3 linked regions of the Caenorhabditis elegans genome follow. The protein of the gene in region 1 interacts with the protein of each later gene in a pairwise test. Each region holds a gene or a part of one and is shown on either strand. Other genes may lie near its edges.

Region 1 (4,947 bases):
TAGACTCAAAATTGTCTGAAAACGCCGAATTTCATAATAAAACTTCCTGAAAACTTCTTTAAAAAAAGTTATGACGGCTCAAAAAATGGCCTATAATTCGTTAAAATTTGAATTTGACCGACTTGTCAATGCCGCAGCGACTGGAAACATTTTTTTTTGAAATCATCGTTAAATTTTGAGTTTACAGCATGATTATCTTGAGTTTTCAACTCCATTTAGGTATTTTAAAATCGATGGACGAAGAGATTTTTAAATTTTTAAAACCAAATCTCGCCGTAGTCCATGGACTTTAAAATACCTAAATGAAGTTGAAAACGCAAGATAATTACATTGTATACTCAAAATTTGACGGTGATTTCAAAAAAAAAATTGCCTTCAGCCGTTACGACATTGACAAGTCGTCGGTCAAATTTGAAATTTTAACGAATTTTTGGCCATTTTTTGAGCCGTCATAATTTTTTTTTGAGAAGTTTTCAAAAAAGTTTCATTATGAAATTCTGTGTTTTCAGACAATTTTGAGTCTAATGAAGCAATAAAAAAAATCGACTACACCGCCTATAATACACATGCTCGGAGAGTTGTAAATTTGAGACAAAAATTTTGAAGTTGTGGAATTTCTACTAATTTTGATGTTCTAAAAGGTTCAAAAACACTGAAAATTCAAATTTCGCGGTTTTTTTTCTTCAATTCAATCGAACATCGTTTATTGGGGGCACACAATAATACAAGTGACAAAAAGCTACACAAATCAAGAAATAACATGCTTCTGGTCCTCCTCCGCCTCCTCCTTCGCCGATTTCTGTTGCTGCACAGCGTCCTGCTTGATCTGCTTGTATTTCTCCTTTCTCAACTTGAATCTCCGATTCTGAAACCAAATCTTGATCTGCTCGGGCGAAAGTCCGATGACTGCTCCCAACTTCCGTCGCTCGTCAACCTTTATTGTGTCGCACTGCTCAAATCTGGTTCTCAACGCGTAAAGCTGAGAATCGGAGAACGGAGTTCGAGCGCCTCTCCGCTTTTCTGAAGGAGCTCTTGGATGCTGCTGATGCTGATGATGTAGAAAAGACGGCGGTGGTGGGATGAAGCCAGCGTGATGAGCCACCATAGGATGAGGAAACGAGGATGGGGAGAGTTGTGAGTACTGCTGCTGGAACCAGGCGAAGCATTGAGCTTGGTAGGCTTGAGCATGGGCTTGAACTCTGTAAAAAAAAAGGAATTTTCGGAAGAAAAGCGATCACGGAGATGAATTTTGTTGCAAATAAGCAGTGATCAAATTTTCCAAATAGGGATTTTTGCCGCTGTAAATTTAACATGCCAAAAAGAAGCTACCAAATTTGCCCAATTTGTGGCAATTGGACTTCTTGGAGCTGTTAATTTCAAAAAAAGCAGCTACCAAAATTGCCTAAATTTGGAATTTTGGCCACTGCTAATTGCGAAGAAGAAGCTTCGAAAATTGTTCAAAATTGAAATTTTTGAAAACAGTTAATTGCAAAAAAAGTAGCAAACAAAATTTCCTGAATTGGATTGTTAAGAGCTCTTAATTGCATAGAAGCAGCTACGAAAATAGTTCAGAATGGACTTTTCGACACTGCTAATTGCAGGAAAACAGCTACCAAAATTGCATAAATTTGGAATTTTTGGAGCTTTTAATTGCAAAAAAGCAGCTACCGAAATAGTTCAAATTGGAATTTTCGACATTGCTAGTTGCAATAAATCTACCAAATTTGCCCAATTTGTGCAAATTGGACTTCTTGGAGCTGTTAATTGCAAAAAAAGCAGCTGCTACCAAAATTGCCTAAATTTGGAATTTTGGCCACTGTTAATTGCAAAAAAGCAGCTACCAAATTTGCCCAATTTGTGCAAATTGGACTTTTCGACACTGTTAATTGCAAAATTGCAGCTACCAAAATAGTTCAAATTGGAATTTTTAGAGCTGTTAATTGCAACAAAGCAGCTAACAAAGTTTTTTTTTGCTAAAAATGCCCGTTCGCGGCCATATAGTGTGAAAAAGCTATATTTTGAGTAATTTCCCACTGTCAAAACTTATGGGGTTATTCAAGAAATGTTACTTGCAAAATGTATTTAAATACATGTTTTTAAATGTATTTTAATACAGTTGTGACGTAATTTTTCTACACTTTTTAATTTTCCGACGCTAATTGAATAACCCCATTAAAATTAGCGGTTCTTCACGCATTTCGGTAGAAAAACGTAGTGAAAATCACTCTAAAACGCCCGTTTTGTACTGAAAAGTATCGAAAAAACTTACAACATATCATTCCCATTATGAGCCAGCTGTTGTTGATAGTAAAGCTGATTGGGATCCGCCACGTAGCACGGTGATGGAGCCTGATAGGCCGCCGGATAGGCTGGCGATGAGCTCATTGAGCCCGGAGAGCTGCTTGGCATTGTGGAATATTCCATTACAGTAGCATTAGTAATAGCAGAAGTTGAATTAAGATTCGAAGAAGACAAAGGATAATAGTCACCGCCGTTATTAATATTATAGTTGGATGATGACATTTTGTGTGGAATGAATTGGGGGAATTATAGTGGCTATTCTCCAGCTGGGGAGGCTGTAAATCTAGGCGGAGCATTGCTGCCTAGGTAGGCGGGGAGGCGAGAAGGTGCGATTTTGTTTGGCGGGAGACATGACCGGGAAAAGGTGACACCGGAGAGGTGAGATACCTGGGAATTGGGTGAGATTTTCCGGCTGTTCTTCAGAATTGTCTGAAAATCTGGAAAAATGTGAAGTTTTTCCACGGAAAAGCGAATTTTCGATTGATTCTTGTAGTTTTTCGTACAAATCGGACAATGCCAAAATTTGGCAGTTTTGGTACTTTGTGTTGGATTACGGTAGAAATTTTGGTCTGAAAAGCTTATTTTTAAGCCAATTTCAGTCAAAAACTGCAGTTCCGGCAATTCGGCAAAAACTTGCCGGAATTAAAAATTTCCGGCAAATTTGCAAGTTGCCGGAATTGAAAATTTCTGGCAAATCGACAAATTGCTGGAATTTGAAATTTCCTGCAAACCGGCGGAATTAAAAATTTCTGGCAAATCGGCAAACTGGCAAACTGCCGGAATTGAAAATTTCTGGCAAAATGGGCGATTTGCCGGAATTGAAAATTTCCGGCAAATCGGCAAATTGGCGGAATTGAAAATTTCCGGCAAATTGTCGGAACTGAAAATTTCTGGCAAAATGGGCAATTTGCCGGAATTGAAAATTTCCTGCAAACCGGCAAAAATTTGCCGGAATTTAAAATTTCTGGCAAATTGCCGGAACTGAAAATTTCCTTCAAACCGGCACATTGCCGGAATTGAACATTTCCGGCAAACGGGTAAAAACTTGCCGGAATTCGCCGAATTTTCCGAACAACAATTGCCCGCCTACTTAAAACTTTTAAAAAAGCAAAAAAGAAAAAAACAACTGACATAAAAATTATCTGATCAATAAGATATTGGAAAAAATGTTGAAAATTGCAAAAAAATATATCGAATCTAGGCATATAGTGCTCCCTAAACTACAACCTACAACAAATTTCAAATAAAATATACAAAATTTTGCAAAAAAAAGAAAAAATATAATTAAAATTCAAATTTCGAAATGTTAAATTTGAAAATTTTAGAGTTTTTCGACGAAATTACAACAAAAACACTCTGAAAATTATAAAAATCCTGGATTTTTTCAGGTGAAAGAGGCAAAAATCATCGCAATGACTTGTACACACGCGGCTCTCCGTCGAAATGAGCTCGTGAAGCTCGGCTTCCGCTACGATAATATCGTAATGGAAGAAGCCGCTCAAATTCTTGAAGTTGAAACATTTATCCCATTGTTACTACAAAATCCACAAGACGGACACAATCGACTGAAACGATGGATTATGATTGGAGATCATCATCAGCTGCCGCCAGTTGTACAGAATCAGGCATTCCAGAAATATTCGAATATGGAACAATCGTTATTTGCGAGATTAGTCAGGCTTAGTGTACCAAATGTGCAGTTGGATCGACAGGGAAGAGCCAGGGCTCAGTGCGTGTTTTTTTTTGGGGAATTCTTGAGAAATTCTACGTGAAAATTAAGAATTTTACGGTTGAATTTACCGAAAAACGATTTTTCGTGCGAAATTGGCAAATTTTCATATGAAAATTGCAACTTTTCACAAGAAAAATTTGGCATTTGAGCTCAATTTGCTGAAATTCAGATTTTTTTCGGAAAATTGGCGAATTTCTAAGTGAAAATTGAGATTTTAAATATAAATTTACCGAAAGTCGATTTTTTGTGCGAAATTGGCAAATTTTCATATGAAATTTGCACCTTTTCACAAGAAAATTTGACATTTGAGCTGAATTTGCTGAAATTTGGATTTTTCCTATAAAAATTCCGAATTTCCAATTCAAAATTTATATTATTCATATAAGTTTCATGAAAATCAGATTTTTTTTCCCGAAAAATTGCGAATTTCTACATGGAAATTGAAATTTTCATTTTGAATTTCCCGAAAAACGAAATTTGTGTGAAAATTGCGAATTTTCATACGAAATTTGCACATTTTTACAGGAAAATTGAAATTTAAGCCGAATTTGCTAAAAATCGGATTTTTCAGAAAGAAAGTTATAGCAATTGCGAATTTCCACATCAAAATTGGTATAAATTTACTGAAAATCGGATTTTTGTACGAAATTGGCCAATTTTCATATAAAATTTGCAAAAGTTTTCACCGGACAATTGAAATTTAAGCTGAATTTGCTGAAATTCAGATTTTCTCGAACAATTGCGAATTTCTACGTGAAAATTCAAATGTTCACGTTTGAATTTGCCGAAAATTGAATTTTTGTGCGAAATTTGCAAATTTTCACGAAAAAATTGAAATTTAAGCCGGATTTGATGATATTCGGATTTTTGTACAAAAATTGCGAATTTCCTTTTCAAAATTTATATTATTCATA
Region 2 (7,853 bases), on another chromosome or scaffold:
TCGTCGTTCCTTCTCGTCATTACGTAACTTTTCAATTTACTATGGTATAAGAAGTCTTTCAGAGGTTTTGATAAAAGTTGAACTACGGCCAGTGGAAAATTATTAAAAACAATGGCGCAAAAATAATCAAGCTTTAAAAAAAAATTTGGAAACATTTTTATTCTGAGTCTGAACTCACTCACAAAAAAAATTTTAATAAGCTTTTTTTGTTTAAAATTGTGTTCAAAATATGCATACTTCAACATTTTAGAGGTTCAAACATGCAAACTCAGTTTTCTCCGCTTTTCGACTCTAAATATTATTAAATATTGCAAAAGTTTCATTATGATACTTAGACGTTTTAGCACAAAAGGCGTGGTTTTGAACCATTTCACTAAGTCCAAAAACTAAAAATCGCAACAATTGTAATATGCTAATACATATATGAATAGGAGCATTCTCTATTTGAATGTCTAATTGATGCAAATATGTGGACCATAAAAGTATGTTCCTAGGTTCTTCAAACATTCTTTCCAATACCTGTTAGTCCTGCTAAAATTGAAAACTTCTAAAAAATGTTCATTTCCATTTCCCTTTTTTCTCATATGTTCCTCCTACTTGCCCACCTAGACCTCTTGTCACTTTGCGTTCACCTGTCTGTCTTTTGATGTAGTATATGGAACAGTTTTCTTATCCATTCGCTATATCTCCATTACCTTACTCGCCTCTTGTTTCTTTTCTCTCGGAGATATATACCAGATAGACATTTGGCGGGAAAAGGCAAGATGTGCTATGATAGCTACTGATTATGTAGCCGTCAAGAAAAGGAACGCGACCTGTACGCGGGAGGAGGTGAATCCTTATTATACGAGCGCCTGGACACACGGCCAAGGCCAATCCCTGTTCGTGCCGAGAATCTCAACGGGGTAAGATTCACACTCTTATCCGTCACCGCTCTACAATTACTGTAGTTGCTGCGGCGTGTGTAGGCCCAAAAAAATAATACAGATAGATAGAAACTCAACAGTCATACTCAACATTTTCAAAATTTTGGTAGTGTGTGCCCAATTAAAATAGCACATTGAATAGAGATAGTTGAACTTGTTGATGCGGATCGAGAAAACCGGCCTCAAAGCATTGTGTGATTATGGGGTCGAATGGCAGTCAGAAGAGAGGGGGAGCGGGAGCGAGAGAGAGACAAAAATTCGAATATAATAGCGATGTTGGATAGTTTATTCTAGCATTGCGCAACCCGAATCAATTTTACAAAACTGGTTTTGTTGTGGTCGTCCAATAAGAAAAAAGAACACGAGAATCGAAGATGCGCGCAATCCTCAACTCAAGCAATCATGCTGTCTATGGTTTGAGGGCTTTTTTGGTGTATCCCTCGCGTCATTCTATTTTTTTTTGGGTCAGCCGTGTTTGGTAGAAGTTTCCCAACTGTTATTCGCTTGTGTTCTATACTAAAAAAAAGCTTGAACAGCTTGCCCACATCTGTTCCTAAGAGCATCGTGCTTCTATCTAAGACTCGCTTCCAACTTTTTTTTTTCAAAATTGAGAAAGCTAATCAACTCGCAATTGCTAGCCAAAATTGTTGCCACTTACTATCCCGACTGTGCTTGATGCCATTCCCCTCACCCCGTGCGTCCCGTCGCTCACTATCTCTATTCTGCATGGTATGCCCCGCCTCCAAAAATCGGGTAGGCGGGGGGAGTCATAGCCTTCAGCTCGTTCTTGCACTACTGCTTGCCATTTTGTTAGTCCAAGAGCACAGGTCACCGGATTACTGTAGTATTCATTTTAAGATTGCAGAAGCCGTGTGACAAATTTCGATTTTGAATGTTCTGTTATTTTCTCACTTCCTCCTCTCGAGCACTCTTACCTTCCCCGCCATACTTGAGCTACTGTAATGCATTGTCCAATCGCTGCTATGTATGCTTTTTCGCTACTTTTAAACAGTATCAAGTGAGGGTGTAAATACCTGGTTGGTGTCAGCCGGCGACGACCTTCTTGTCTCCGGAGAGAAGAGCTGCGTCTGAATACCTTTTCGAGTGTTGTACGCAAAACTTTTCAAGTAGTGGAGGTCTTGGTAGCCCATCCTACTTGTTCATCTATGAGCGCTCTTTCATTCAAACTGTCCACCGTTTTTTTCTTCTTCCTTGTTAGTGTTTCCTTTCAAATTCGATTTTGTGAAAATTTCAGCACCATTTTCTAAAAGCTTCATCAAATAACAAAAACATTTTTAGACAATGCCCTATCGTGCAGAGCTAAAACGTCCCGATTTGAAAGGCTCATTTCCCTGCTCGATTTGCCAAAAAGTATTCTGCCACAGTTCGTCTCTGAGTCGTCACCGGATGCAGGCTCACTTTAAAAGCTACACCTGTACCACTTGCAACAACGAAATTCCAAGTAAGTTTGAAAATGCAAGTTTGAGAAAAAAAAGAGAAATAGATGAATCAGAGTAGCAGGAGCTTGACTAACAATAGGGGAGAAAGAGCGAAACAATTTATGCCGCTATTGATGTTTTCACAGTTTTGTATCATGTTTTATCATATGATAATAAGAAAAAAGAGAGGGAAACTTAACTCGAGAACATAGCTATTGTTGAATTGTACGGAACTTATTCTATTGAAAATTTAAAATTGATCTAAAAATCTAAAAATAAAAAATTATGGGTTCTAGGTGATGTTTAACTTTCTAATTTATTTTTTCAAAATTGAATTAAAATTCTGAACGAATGTTCTATTTCCTGCTGCATTTAGTTTCTGTCTTCTACCAGTTTATTGCATTTCTACATTTTTCTAATCTCCCTCCCAATACATTTATTTGATCGGAAGTCTCCATAATCTGAAATGCGCGAAAGCTCAGTGGCATTGTTTACTGACAAGCTTAAACTCAACTCACACCCTCCGATTAGCACGTGGCTATATTGGGCATGTGTCAAACAAGGTTGATACAGTCTCCTTCTTTCCGCCAAAAAATTACATTGGTTATCTAAATATTGACACCCTTTCCAACTACTACTGTATTCTTAATTGTAGACATCTATATGGCATGGCAAACTGAATGAGGAGGTGTGCAAATACCGAGATAGCTCCGACTGTCAATTAGGAGTATCTATTTAGTAATATCTGTTAAGCTTTTAAAACAACCATGTGCACTTTTGGACTAGTAGCAAAAAGTTTAAAGGTGGAGTAGTGCCAGTGGGGAAATGGTTAACATCCACTTATATAGAGCCAAAATGACCAACATTATTGACAGTCAAAAAGTGGCAATAACTGTGTTCTTGCCACTTTTCGAGAAAACTATAGCAATGCCGCATGTTCGGATCTCTACAATGTTTGAATATTTATATTTGAAAAATATGTAGGCGACTGTTTATCGACGACTTTCAAAAAAGTAATTACCAATTTTAAAAACAAAATTAAAAATTTCAAAAAATTTTTGTAGCGTCGTTTGGCAAATTCGGCGTTATTTTTTTTCAATTTCCCACTGGAGCGTCTCCAGCTATAATGGAAAGCAGTATCATGTATTAAATAATAACAAATTGACTCTAATATTTGTGCAAGAATCTTTTGAAAAGACACCTCTGACCATATTACGCCACAGTTTTACAATAACACGTCTGCTATTTGCATTGTCTAATTGCCCCATCTTTCCATCCCGAGCGGCTTCCTAAGAGAGCGAGAGGCATAAATAACCGACGGTATGTATGTATTACTTAATGGTTTCTTTTCTTGGAATGGAAGGTAGGATGAACCTCCAAGGTCAGTCATTTGATGACCATCCATCAGCTAATTGTTGGCACGCCACTGTCGCTAAGTGAGCTTGAGAGCGAAGAATAGGGCCAGCGCGCGGGCAAAGTAAAAAAAAAACCACCGATTGTCTTCTTTCCCCATCTTCCGCAACAAAAATTGCAACCTCTTCTTTTTCTACCACCTTTCCAACATTACAATTTATTGGTTGTTCACTCGCCGTCAATCATTTGTTACGGTTCGCTGAGCATGGGGGTCGTTCAAGAAACTTTCGGCCAAAGCACCCAGCTTTTTTCACACCTTACTTCACCGCTCGCCTATACGTGGAATCCATACGGCGGCATGTTAGCAGGCAGATCAACAGGATTTGTTATATTACTCGTGCGCAATCCAACAATAAGCGGATCAACCAGTAGAATACCGAAACATAACATGAAAATGTTTTACAGCCTGACCCCTGCGTTTGTCGTTTTTTTTTGTGTTACTGCTTTGTCGGTAGGCAAGATCCGCTATTCTATAGATTTTCTATAGTGCGTATTTTCAAATTCAGACAAACATGCAAATGAGGGGGGTCGTCGTAGAACATTCGTCACATTGGCACCTAACATGCCTTTACGGGCGCGCGTATAGTGTCCCAATGTTGCGAATTTCATTTGATTGATAGACAGTTAGGCTCGGTGGCACAAAGAATGGCAATTAAGTGGAATATGGAAATAGCAATGCAGTTGGGGTTGGCAAATAGCCATTTACATGTTACTTTCGACAAATATTTAGATCATTGAGACATGAATTCAAAAGCTGGAGAAGGGTTCAAATAGTATTTGATAATTACCATAATAAAATGAGTGCGAAATGAGCCGGCACTGCTCTCACTGTTCAGTCATTAGGAAACCTTAAGAAACAATTTTGCAGGCAACGATACACTACGCAGTCACATGTATCGAGTACACAACATTACCCGAATGTTTATGTGTCGGTGTTGCAATTGGGCTTTTCCCGACAAAACAAGTCTTCACATCCATATGCAGAGTATGCTGAAAAATGGGACACCGGGGGAAGCGGCTGTTTTAGCTAAGAGTTCAGATGGTAAAGATCTACCCACAAATTTTGAAATCCATTAATACAAATTTGCAGTTGTAGATAGCACATCCGAGTCGGGCTCCCCGCGTCAGTCTCCACCCTTCTCGCCTGATTTGTTGATGCAAAAGCGTATGTTACAAGTTGCTGCAAACAATAACAACATTGGATCCATTTTCCCGACACTGCTCAAAAGCCCCGACTCCAAATCGATGTTCCCCCTGGATCTTTCTAACATGGGTCCTTCACAGTTCCTCTCAGCGTGGCTTGCCAACAATCCCATCAACACGGCGGCCCTTAATCTGGCAGCGCAACAAACACCGTCCAAAGTACGTTACAACTCTTTGATGTTTTGAATTCAAATGTATTACATTTTAAGGATTCCATCCAGTCTTCTAATATTAGCGATTATGACGACTTAGAAGTGCAGACAACTGAAGAAGACATCAAATTTGAAGTGGAAAGCAGTGATGTCAGCCCTCGGTCAGTCATTGTCAAGACTGAACCAACTTTCAAAAGAGAACTGGAACACGATGCTGATATTGATGTGGAAGGCGATGATGTAAGGAAAACTTATTGAAATTTTGAGGAAAATTTGTTTTTCACCCCATTAAACTTTAATATGTCATATTATGAAACTTTCAAAATTTTCAGGGCGAACCACCATTGAAAATGACGATTGATGACAAAAACATCCACATTTCCCATGATCAGCCTTCTCCAACGGTTTCGGATTCTCACATCAGTGGTGGATCGTCTAGTCATTCGGGCGAAAGTTTGAAATGCTTTGATTGTCAGGTTAGGAAGTTGTCTTAAATGGTTTTGAATTATAATTTAAAATATGAAAAAAAAAAATAAAAAACCATCCATTTTGCGAGCGCTATGTGAAGAGAATCTGGGAATTAGGTACAGTACTTCTGGTGATATGATTAGTCTTTAGGTTAAGTTTGATAATCCAGTCATGGACTGCTCCACTTTCAAGTTCACGCTAGGTTTCAGCTGGTTAAAATCTCAGGGTCCTATAGCAAAACGGGTGCTTTCAATTGTGATGATAAATTTATGAAAACGGATTCGAGGTTTTTTGACACACTCGATTCCAAATATCACAAAAAATTTTCCTGAAGAATTGTATGTATTCCAATGCTTCACAAATTTAGGGGTGTCCTACAAGAAGCGCGCGCACTGTAAAAACTCGTGACCTGTAGTTCTTCAGCGGCCACCACTACCGACTGAGTTATCCCCCACCCACTGATATTTTTAATAATTTACATAAGTTTATGATGTTTCAGGTAGCCAGAGGGAAGCTTGTTGCAGTTGAGGACAAATGTCGTGCCTATGAAAAGACCATTAGAGAGTTGCAAGTTCAAGTGGATTTCCTCCGCAAAATTCAACCGAATCCGATGCCACCCGTGATGCTGCCTCCTCCGATGATGCCTATGCCATCTCCAGGGCCGAACAATCTATTTCAAAATCCTGCGATGAGAATGTTGTTGAACAATTTGATTCACATGAACCGTCCCTCAGTGGTTCCCTAGATCCAAACGATTTCAATTTCTTTATTTCCGATTTTGATGGTGTCATCAAATCTAGTTGAACCACGTAGTCATTTTCATTCCTTGTTTCTAATCAGCATTTTGAGCCATTGAAATACAACAATCCTTTGAGCAATTTCCGAAATACTCTGAATCAAAGAACCAACAGCTTTTAAAGCGGTTTTGGTTGGCTTTTAAACTAATTGTCGTTTATATCTTTGTACATAATGCCTATTCTCGTAGCTACTTCTTATCTTTGCATCCAAATATTTCAAACTTCCAAAAAAAATCAGAGTGCTCTCATTCCTGACAATTGTATTTACCGCAATCTTAGAAACTGGTGGACATTTTCCAAACAATCCGAATCTACTTTACTTTTTTGTTGCAATAGCTTCAATAAAACGTAGCCTTAAATGCACTCAGCGATTTACCTAGAACGTCCTTTACATTACTTCATTGTTCTAAATGTTTCCTTTTTTATTTCTTCTGGTCCTTTTCTTGACTTTTATAGCATTACCCTTTTTTCCCGCCTTGACTTTTTCCTTCCCTCAATGATTTCATTTCATTATATTTGTGATAAATAATTTTCAAAGTTCAAAATGCAGGAAGTAATAAGCCATACAAAAAACTAGCAAAAACGAAACTCTCACAAGATGATGTTATCCTCGCATAAAACATCATTTTGTTTGAATGCAAAACTGAACCCGTTTCAGAGGGTAATGTGCTTTCAGGTGAAGCGATGTGAAAATTCATTTTTACCTTTTCGACCCACTAGACGTCACAATCAGCATAGTGAAAGGTTGAGCATGATTCATTTCTGATTTCTTCCTGATGTACTCAGTCGATTGTCTAAAACTTCAGCTTCAAGAAATTTCGTACTAGTTGATTCCCTTTTTGCAGCTTTCGTTTTCTTACATCAAAACGAAAAATTGCTAGATGAAATACTTACGAACTTGTGTTTGGCTTCAATTGTTATTCAAAATTTCTCAGGAGTGTATTTAAAGTATTCTAAAACCATATAAAACTCCAAAAATAGTCAAATCTATGTTATTGCAGAATAGATGCTTAAAATATTTCTCGAAAATGAATTAATATTTAGATAATTTTTTGTGACTCTCCCTTGTCCATTTTATGTTTTGAACATTTAGTATTTTTGTATCACCAGCTGCTGCAAGTCAATTCACACAGGTTAGAATGTTGCGATATATTGAAATTTCCTATATCTGGTACTCCATTTTAAGGATGTAAAAATTCAGATATTGCAATACTTTTTAAAAATTGTAGAAATTTTTAATGTGCATCCAAAAAGTGGTACCCCTAATTTTGGAAGTCAGCTAGAAACGTTTTTCCTACCATTTTTATATTTCAACCTTTTTTGATTGTTTGTATCATAACAATATAAGGATTCAAAACTACGTCTAGCAGTTTTTTTTCACTTATTATTTTGAAAGTCTACCGAAATATTGTGCATTTTTCTGAAGCTGTTTAAAAGTTCACATGGTTTTACTCA
Region 3 (8,558 bases), on another chromosome or scaffold:
AGACACGGAAAATTGCGAAGAACTACGATTGGAAAAAGCGAATAACAACAGCCGTTTTTTATTGGGCCGCCCCAATTTTTCTAATGGGTGGCCTGAAGACGGACGCCCGGCGCGAGGTCGGAGAAGATAAAAGGACGTTTGAATTTGGACGCCCGGACCTCCCGATTTATGAGACCTTTTTGTACGGAGGTTGTCTCGAGGGAAGAGTTTTAAATTTCAAGGATTTGATCTTGCAAGCGCTTGGGATTTTGAATGAATGAAAAAATTGGGTGGAGGCTAGAAGTTATCAGAAAAAATGTTCAAATTTTTTTTTGAAATTTCTGAAAATCACTACCGTAATTTCTATACTATCAAATGCTAGCCAATATCTGATTTTTTGTCTGCTGTGTAAAACGACAGGCAATGATTTTTTTAATCGAAAAGAGCAAACCCTCGAAATAGGCTCCACTTACGCAACAAATCGTTCTCTTATTTCGCTTCGATCGACCACCAGTATTTAAAAGATGGGTGGTCTAGATCTCACAGAAACCTGCACTATTTCAACAAGATAAACACGACGGAATGTTCGTTCACTCTCACACTTCAGCCGTTTTTTTCCTACGAGCGAAACAATCAGCGGGGCGGGTAGTGAGCGAGTTGAGACTGTCTAGACTCGATGTGGTGATCTCTTTGGAGTACAGAGAATGTTCAGAGTAAATACAGTCCATTCGGCAACATTTGAAAACAAGAATTTAGTCAAAATTTATCAGCAATTCCTTTAGAAAGTTGGTTCTCAAACCTAAAATTTTTTAACGACATTTATAAAGTGGAACTGGAAATATCTTTGGTTCGGGAAAATTTGAGAAATTTAAATTACTGAAACTTTAAAAGTCATATTGAAAATTGTTATCCATTGCAGGTCAATAATTTTTGACTGAAACTTCAAATCTTGGTAATTGAAAAACGGTTTGACTAAATAGTGAGTCACTAGAACTTTGACAGTTGGTAAGACAGTTTTCAACAAAACTATTACTTTTCAAAGTTTTTGGTAGCTTCTCTCGAAAACATTCCTAATATATTTTCAGGTCCAAATCAACCTTTACCAAAAATGTTTCCTCTGTAATTTTCTTGTCAATCCCACTTTGTTTCTACCGCTTCTTCTCCTTTCCATTTCGAGGACACAGTCGAGATCAAATGTGTGCGTTGAAACTGCCAATTTTCATTCTCTCTCTGCTAACTGAACACAAGACCTGAAGGTGCTCATTAGGCGAAATTGAGAAATATTGGATTACTGTAGGCTTAGATATGTAATCAATCTGAAACTGGTGACGCGGGTGTTCAGAAAAAAAATTGTGGTTGGGTTGGGGGGTTAAGATTCAAATGAAGAAATGAAAAAAGCTAGTAAAAGCTGAAAGAAAGTACTTAGCTTATGAATATTAATTAGGTCACATGGGAGCAGTTATGAATTTCCAGTCCTAATTTTTTCTACAGCCCGGTGCCGGGATCTTGGCCCTATGGACTGAAAAAAAGCTCAAGAATTGTATTTTTCCTCGAAAAAAAAATATAATTAAGCTTTCTATATAGGCTCCAAGGTTCCAACTTGTGGATCCATAATTCTAGACATAGTTTCAATTTCCTTTAAAGCAAGGTAGGTCACATTCCAGGAATGTTTAATAGTTTTCTAAAATACAGAAAAGTCTAGAAAAGCCTACCCAACGAATGATAATAAAAGTTCGAACAAAACCTATAAAAATTGAGTTACAGGAAATAAAATAAAAAACTAAAAGTTTGCAATTTTCTCTCGTCTCTTCTCTTTCCATGATCACACGTACTTACAGGTGTCCCCAAAAAACGCAGAGATCACACGATTCGCGGAGTGTCAGCCAGAGAAAAAATATGTCGTCGCGAGAACTGATAGCGGTGTCCCCCTCCACCGCCATAGTCTCGGGGCGCCGCTCCCTCCCGATATATGTTTGTCTGGCGTCTCTTACCAGGTTTTCTCACGTTCGGCGTTCTCTAATTATCGTCGTGTGAGGTCTTCTATCCAATCGCGGGTGGCATCAGTCGCCAAAAAAGAGGCGGCGCTTCGTCGCCGCGACTCTTTCTTGCTGGGACCCGCCCCGTTTCACAGGAGGGGAGTGCCTATTACTCCCTCTTTTCCTTTTCTTTTCGATATTTGAATGCTATCGGTGCTCTAGGAGCTCGATCTTGACCCCTTGTTGGAGGAAATTGTACTTTTGGGTAGGTGCTTCCAGTCGATTCAGAATAATTTTTTGGGGTTTTTGAAAACAGTAAAATTATGTGAAAATGTTTCCATCTTTGCGTCTACAATTTGTGGCTGACTTTCCTAACAGTCTACTCTTTGAAATTTTTGAGAAAATGGCTTAACAAAAACTTGAACATTTGATCTGATGTACATTGTAGAAATACTGTAGCTCCTGACTTGTCTGTTTGTCTTGGTTTTAGTCTCTACAAAAAATTATTTCTTGATAAAAACCTCTAATTGATTAAAAATTGAACCTTTTGTAACACGATCAAATGTTGCCAGTTGCAATTAATCGATTTTTGTGATTTTATAAAGTTTGCAGTTAGGTTTGAAAAACTTCAAACGTATTTTATTTAGAAATTTATTTGCTCTTTTTTTCCTTCAAGTCAAATAAGCAATACGGTTCTGTAAATTAATAAAACTTTGTTGCCATTAAATATTGAAATTCCATGTATATCCGTTCTGAAAAATTCTTTATAAGAAAAAATTTCAAACTGGTTTTTAACATTTTTAACTATTGCAGGTTTAAAAACATACAGTAGCCCAACTTTATTCCACATTTAAAGTCACAGAATGAGCCCAACGTTGAATTGAACATTTAGATTATAAAAACGTATTTTATATATGTTTGAGCTATCTGTAATTTTTGAAGAAAAAAAAACTGGTTTCAAAGCTCTCTAAATTTTCTGTTTTAAATTCTCAAAATTCTTAACATTATAGGAAAAGAAAATTTTTTTACTTTACTTTGAAAATTTTTTTAATCCGAAAGATATACACTGGAAACTAGAAAAGATACAGTATTACAAAAAAAATTCGCATTACCAGCTGCTCCTTTAAAAAATTGAAAATTTGTTCCGATGCAAAGAACAATATTTTTGGCGAAAAAATGTTCTTTCTCACAAAAATCAGTCTTGAAAATTTGACTTTTCCACGACATTTTCAAAATTTCGTAATTATTTTATAAGTCAAGATTAGAGTATAGCAGTTTCATATAATGCTTATAGATCCCTCTTTTTAATTCCCTAATTAAAAATAAAAATTTCAACAAAAACAACTAAATTCATAATCTGAAAAAATTTTGCAGAGGAGCTCTAATGCTCACCGAGGATCCCGTATCGGAGATTTGTGAGGCGAAAGCAGTCGATGAGCTCGCCGAGCAAGAAAAAAATTATTATTGTCAGAGATGTTTAAATCATGGGGAGTTGAAGCCAAGGAAAGGTCACAAGCCGGATTGTAGGTGAGCAATGGTTTTTTTTGCATTTTTAAACTACATTTCATCTGAAAACTATTTTGTCATTCCATGTTTCTCCCTCATTCACCCTTAATTATATACATCACGTTTTAATGCTTAAACTCTTGAATTTTTTGATAATTTTGGGTCTTGCAACGATAAAAAGTTAACAACTGTTTAATGAACTTTTTGTAACTTTTGTTGTGCCGAAAAAGTATGTAGTTTATCCATAAATACTCCAAATTCCAAATTTTATCTCAAAATTGTCGCGTCACCGACCTTATTCACCCACCATCAGTTTTTTTTTTCGCGAAGCCCTCCGACAAAGACACCCGTAAAATTTGAGATGTTCGTCTACCGATTACGATCGGGCAAGAAAAGACGCAAAGCAAGAAAAAACAGCTGACCTTGTCGATTTAAAGCGAAAAATACCACCCATACAGGTGAAATTGTTATTATATGAGTGAGGGGGGTCAAAAACGAATTATTATATGGACGCGAAAAACGGAGGAGAAGAATGGGAAAATGCAAAGAGGCAAAAAGTTATGTTTTATACATTAACCTAAACCATTTTGAAGGTGGTCTAGGGATACTGTAGATGTTTCACCAAGGTGAAAGATGACTCAAAAAGATCTTGCAATGACGACAATTATCACTAAGCTAAATTGAAGATGGATTAGCGAAATCTGGGAAACATTTTAAAATGACTACAAGAGTTTTTTGAATACCTATGTGAAATTTTTTTAATTCCCTGATTTCGCTACTACACATTTAATAATATGTATATCAAGGTGTGTTACTCTTTTTAGGTTTTTTTAAACGCTCGTTTAAAGAATTTGTACTTCTCTGGTTTAAATATCCAAAACTCGCCCGAAACGACCGAATTTCATTATTAGGCTTTACAAAAATAATATCTATCCGGTTAAAAATTAAAAAAAAAACTAGTGAAATTCTGCCAGCTTCTTCTTCGGTCGATCATTTTTTCCAATGTTTAGATAAATTCAAAAAAGCGCTTCTTTTTTTTCGAGATATGTTTGGGAAGTTACATCATGAATTTTGGTTGTTTGGGATCAGTTTGAGACAATTCAAGCAACTAAAAATTTTTCAGCCTTTTTTATTATTTTTTTTGGAACCGAAAATTATTAAAAAATTATGTTTGCTTTTCATTCAAAAATCTTCATTCATTTTTTGACATCCAATCACACAGATACACTCACTTTTCAAACAAACCATTCCACAATGACCTATACAGTCGTAAAATTCCTCACCCAATTTTTTTTTTCTCCCAATTTTTTCAGTTCATATAATTTTTAACAAAAGATAGGGCCTATCTCTATTGTGAAAAGTCTAATAAAATATTTGAATGGGTGGGCGGGTTACTGTACAACTACAAAATTCTCCCGTCGATGACACCAAGTGGCACTGAAAAATAAACAAGACGAACATTTTACAGATATCTAAAATGTCCATGTCGAGAATGCACGATGGTCGAGCAGCGAAGACAGTTGAACAATTTGCTAAGCAAAAAGAAGGTGAGTATTCTATAGGGATTCTATGGTAGGTGTGGCTGTAGGTGGCTGTGCCTTACCTCATTCCTGTCTGCCTACATTTCTGTTTCGCGGTGTAGGCGGTCTTGAAGGTTGTATGTGCGTTCTCACGCACTTAAATACCACATCTTATCAGTTCACCAAAAAATCGCAACTTCAGATCAAATCTGACATTTTCAAAATGAAAAGTGGGTTGACGTCTTGGCTTTTTTCTCTTTTTGTAAGAAAAACAATTGAAGATACGAATAGATAGAGTGTGAAAAGCAAAGAAAAAGTGAGAAAAAGATTGATTTTATCGGATTTTTTTAAGGGTAGGTATATTTTTCATGAAGTTGTTCTTTTTCAAAAGGGGCTCTTGTTGTGGCAAGTCACATATAGGTCATTGCCTGGCCATCTATAGGCGTACCTACCTTATTGTTTTATTTCAGTTATTTGTTGAAAGTGTATTTTTAAATGAGAAAAATGCTCACTTTGGACCATGGGTATGCGTGTAGGTATGAGGCAATTGTAGGCTGCATTGACTGCAAGCATTCTTGAGCCTACTGAAAGTTTATACCGAATTTCTTGGTTATTGTTTTTGTGATTGCATTAACTCCTATAATATTACTGTGAAAATAAAACACTTTTTAGCGGGACCCCTTATAAACCTTTCCAAATTTCCAGATCCACTGCACACCGGCAACTCAAACCCGTGATGGGAAGCGTGTCCGTGACCCACACTGTGCTCGGTGCTCGGCTCACGGAGTCCTAGTCCCATTGCGGGGACACAAGCGGACAATGTGCCAATTTGTGACATGCGAGTGTACATTGGTAAGTGTAATTATACTGTCATCATCGGCAGTCAGGCGCCCTTGACAACATTGCAGTTTTTATGCTTTTCAATGTCACCTGCGCGAAGAAATTATAGGATTATAAAAGTACTGTAGGGAAATGGGGGAGTGGCTTGCCAATGAGATTTGAGAATGTGACTTTTTGAAACATTTTGATAAGTTTCAACTATTTCGAAGTATTTTTAATGCAACAGTGCTACGAATTGACTTTTTAAAAATTGTTGTGGAGCAGGCAACTTGGAGCATGCTCTTGGACTGACAGAGAAAGTTGCCACATTAATTTGTGTGAGATTTTTGAAAACGCGTAAACAGAACTACGATTTTCGAGTTTAAAAATATTATTTTTCAGTGTACTCTTGTGGAACACCGTCGAAATCTTATGGCGGCTCAAATCAAATTACGCAGATCACAACAGAAATCCCGAGATGGTAAAGAACCAAAAAGGAACTCTCGTAGAAAATCGAAAGATATGGATATGGAGATGATGGTTGTCACAGCTACAGATGGTCAAAAGATAATTGGTAAGCTATGGGATTTTGTAGAAGTGTGTAAATTGAGCTTTAAGTCAGAATCACAAAAATTGGAGTCTAAACCTGAAATCCAGTCGGAAGTAATTCTAGAGTTGACGGTACGTATTAACGTTATCAGAAACATAGATTTTACCATCAACTCATAGATTATATAAAATGGCTACTTGTTATTTCCAATTTTTCGTACCGAAACAATCAAATACGGGAATATCCAAACGCATCAATAAACAATTACGAAAGTTAAGAGGTTAATTTCAAATATGTCTAGAATCTCAAATTGGTACAACTTCTCAGTTATAGAATATGTCTTTCTGCTTACCTATCAGGCGGGCCCTGCCCTGAAAGTTACTTTGCCTTAAAGATAATTACCACTTAAGCCAATGTATTTTCAAAATTCAGGGGAAGACAAAAAAGTGGTAATTTTGATGCAAATATCAACGCAGACAGTTAAAATTTATATTGTAGCTTCAAAGAAATTAAATCTATAATATTCCAGGAACATCAGCAAGTCCATCTCCATCCTCAACCACTGATACAATGTCCCCATCCCTTTCAATGTCTCCACCATGCTCTCCATCTCCACTTCTGGCTCAATACACTCTGACGCTGGCTGCTCCGATTCCAATCTATCCGCCGATCCCAATGAATCAACAATTGATAAGCTTGCAACAACAACAGTTCCTGATGAGCATTATTCAAAATATGGCTCCATCAATCGGACAACAGGCTCCACTCCTTCCAGGCATTTCTGCAGGTTCTGTCTCATCGGCAGCAATTTTGAATGAGTTCTGGAGTATGTATCTGAAAAATTATGGTCTGCAAGCCTAAGATCTATAATTTTGACCAATTATTGATTTTTAGAAAAATTGTATGTTTCCCTTCTTTGCTTAATTTTCCACACAATCTCTTTTTATCTTTGGTTTCAAACTCAATGATTTTTTCATATTTTCTTGAATTTTCACTTTTTACCAATTTTGTTATATTTTCTAATTTTTTCATTCATTTTTCACCAAGTGAACCAACCAATTTACCGATTTTTTTCTCGTCTTCAAGACCGCTTGTGTTATTCCAAAAATCCCCATTTTTTTTAAATTCAAATAATCTTTTCGTCTCTCACCAAACCACATACTATCTTTCTATGTCTCTTCGCCACCTAATCATGTCATCAATTTCTTCGAAAATTCCCAAATTTCACCGATATTCTTCCGTTTGCATCGATTTCCCACTGTCCCCGCCCAAATTGAGCTGAGCTCCGCCCACACTTTCCCAGGATTACTGTATTGTTTCTCGCTCTGCGTCTCTCATTCTCGTTCCCTCTCTCTTTGTTTTATCTCGGAAAATAGGATCAAATCCTAAACAGTTAACCGGTCCGTTTTAGACACCCCCGGTGGTAATAATTTTGAAAAAAAGTGAAATCATGTTTTTTAATGTTTTGGTTTTAAAAAACCAAACATTTTTTGGAGAGAAAAATGTATAGAACTTCCAAACATACAAACACACGACGCATCGAGTCTAATAATTATTGATTTATTTTTATTATTTTTGATTTTTCAATAAACTTTTCATTTTTAAATCGTCTTGGTTCTGTATGCAAACTTGATCGTACAGCAATTTCCAGAAAAAAAGTTGGCGGCCGAGCTTTCTCTTCCGCGGCCATGTAGAAACCCATAGACAAGGTCTTAGCACGAATGAAACTTTTCCGTTACCGTACCATAGGGTATTTCCCAATTTCTCCTGTTTCAGAAAACATATTTTTTTTAAATTTAAACTTTCGTTGCTTCTGAGTTTTTAAAAAGTTTTATTTTCAGTTCTCCCAATAAAAATGTATTTATTTATTTAAAAAATTTAACAACGAAAAAAAAGCTATACCGCTCAACACCGAAAAGTTTGCGAATACAGTACTCCTTAAAGGCGCACACTCTTTTGTCCTCTGAAAAATTGATCGTGTCAAGACCCGGTACCGTATTTGTTGTCTAAAATTTTAAAATGTCCGTAATTTCCATCCATTTCTGTCTCATTTACCAAGAAAAAAACATCACTAAACCACATGAATAAGAGGGCTTTAACCTCCCGATGAGATGGATCGGGGGTCTCAACGCGAAACAAAGGTACATCCCAGTCAACAGCAGCCTCAGCAGCACCAAAAAAACGGTCATAAAATGGAGATTGCCGACC

Evidence for each region. The genes of interacting proteins can lie anywhere in the genome.
Region 2: the proteins of ceh-51 (region 1) and ham-2 interact in a two-hybrid assay, tested with the Caenorhabditis elegans proteins (one large-scale study listed by BioGRID).
Region 3: the proteins of ceh-51 (region 1) and mab-3 interact in a two-hybrid assay, tested with the Caenorhabditis elegans proteins (one large-scale study listed by BioGRID).

Annotation. Positions count from the first base shown.
Region 1 is NC_003283.11:18,871,709-18,876,655, reverse strand, and holds ceh-51 (Homeobox protein ceh-51), read right to left. Parts: upstream 2,524-4,947; coding exon 2,270-2,523; intron 1,200-2,269; coding exon 749-1,199; 3' UTR 674-748; downstream 1-673. Other genes in the region: emb-4 (Intron-binding protein aquarius), read left to right, coding at 3,690-4,030. UniProt on the Caenorhabditis elegans protein: Required for mesoderm development, including specification of muscle and coelomocyte precursors.
Region 2 is NC_003284.9:4,552,466-4,560,318, forward strand, and holds ham-2 (Zinc finger protein ham-2), read left to right. Parts: upstream 1-2,219; 5' UTR 2,220-2,228; coding exon 2,229-2,388; intron 2,389-3,033; exon of another isoform or gene 3,034-3,177; intron 3,178-3,467; exon of another isoform or gene 3,468-3,909; intron 3,910-4,277; exon of another isoform or gene 4,278-4,416; intron 4,417-4,646; coding exon 4,647-4,820; intron 4,821-4,868; coding exon 4,869-5,140; intron 5,141-5,190; coding exon 5,191-5,373; intron 5,374-5,465; coding exon 5,466-5,609; intron 5,610-6,100; coding exon 6,101-6,346; 3' UTR 6,347-6,943; downstream 6,944-7,853. UniProt on the Caenorhabditis elegans protein: Probable transcription factor that acts downstream of egl-15, to promote migration of the HSN motor neurons from the tail to the gonad primordium during HSN cell differentiation.
Region 3 is NC_003280.10:9,730,083-9,738,640, forward strand, and holds mab-3 (Protein male abnormal 3), read left to right. Parts: upstream 1-2,148; 5' UTR 2,149-2,220; intron 2,221-3,329; 5' UTR 3,330-3,339; coding exon 3,340-3,482; intron 3,483-4,928; exon of another isoform or gene 4,929-4,929; coding exon 4,930-5,008; intron 5,009-5,686; coding exon 5,687-5,833; intron 5,834-6,202; coding exon 6,203-6,374; intron 6,375-6,879; coding exon 6,880-7,211; 3' UTR 7,212-7,953; downstream 7,954-8,558. UniProt on the Caenorhabditis elegans protein: Transcription factor which binds the DNA motif 5'-[CGA][TCA][TA]ACAATGT[AT][TGA]C-3', probably as a monomer.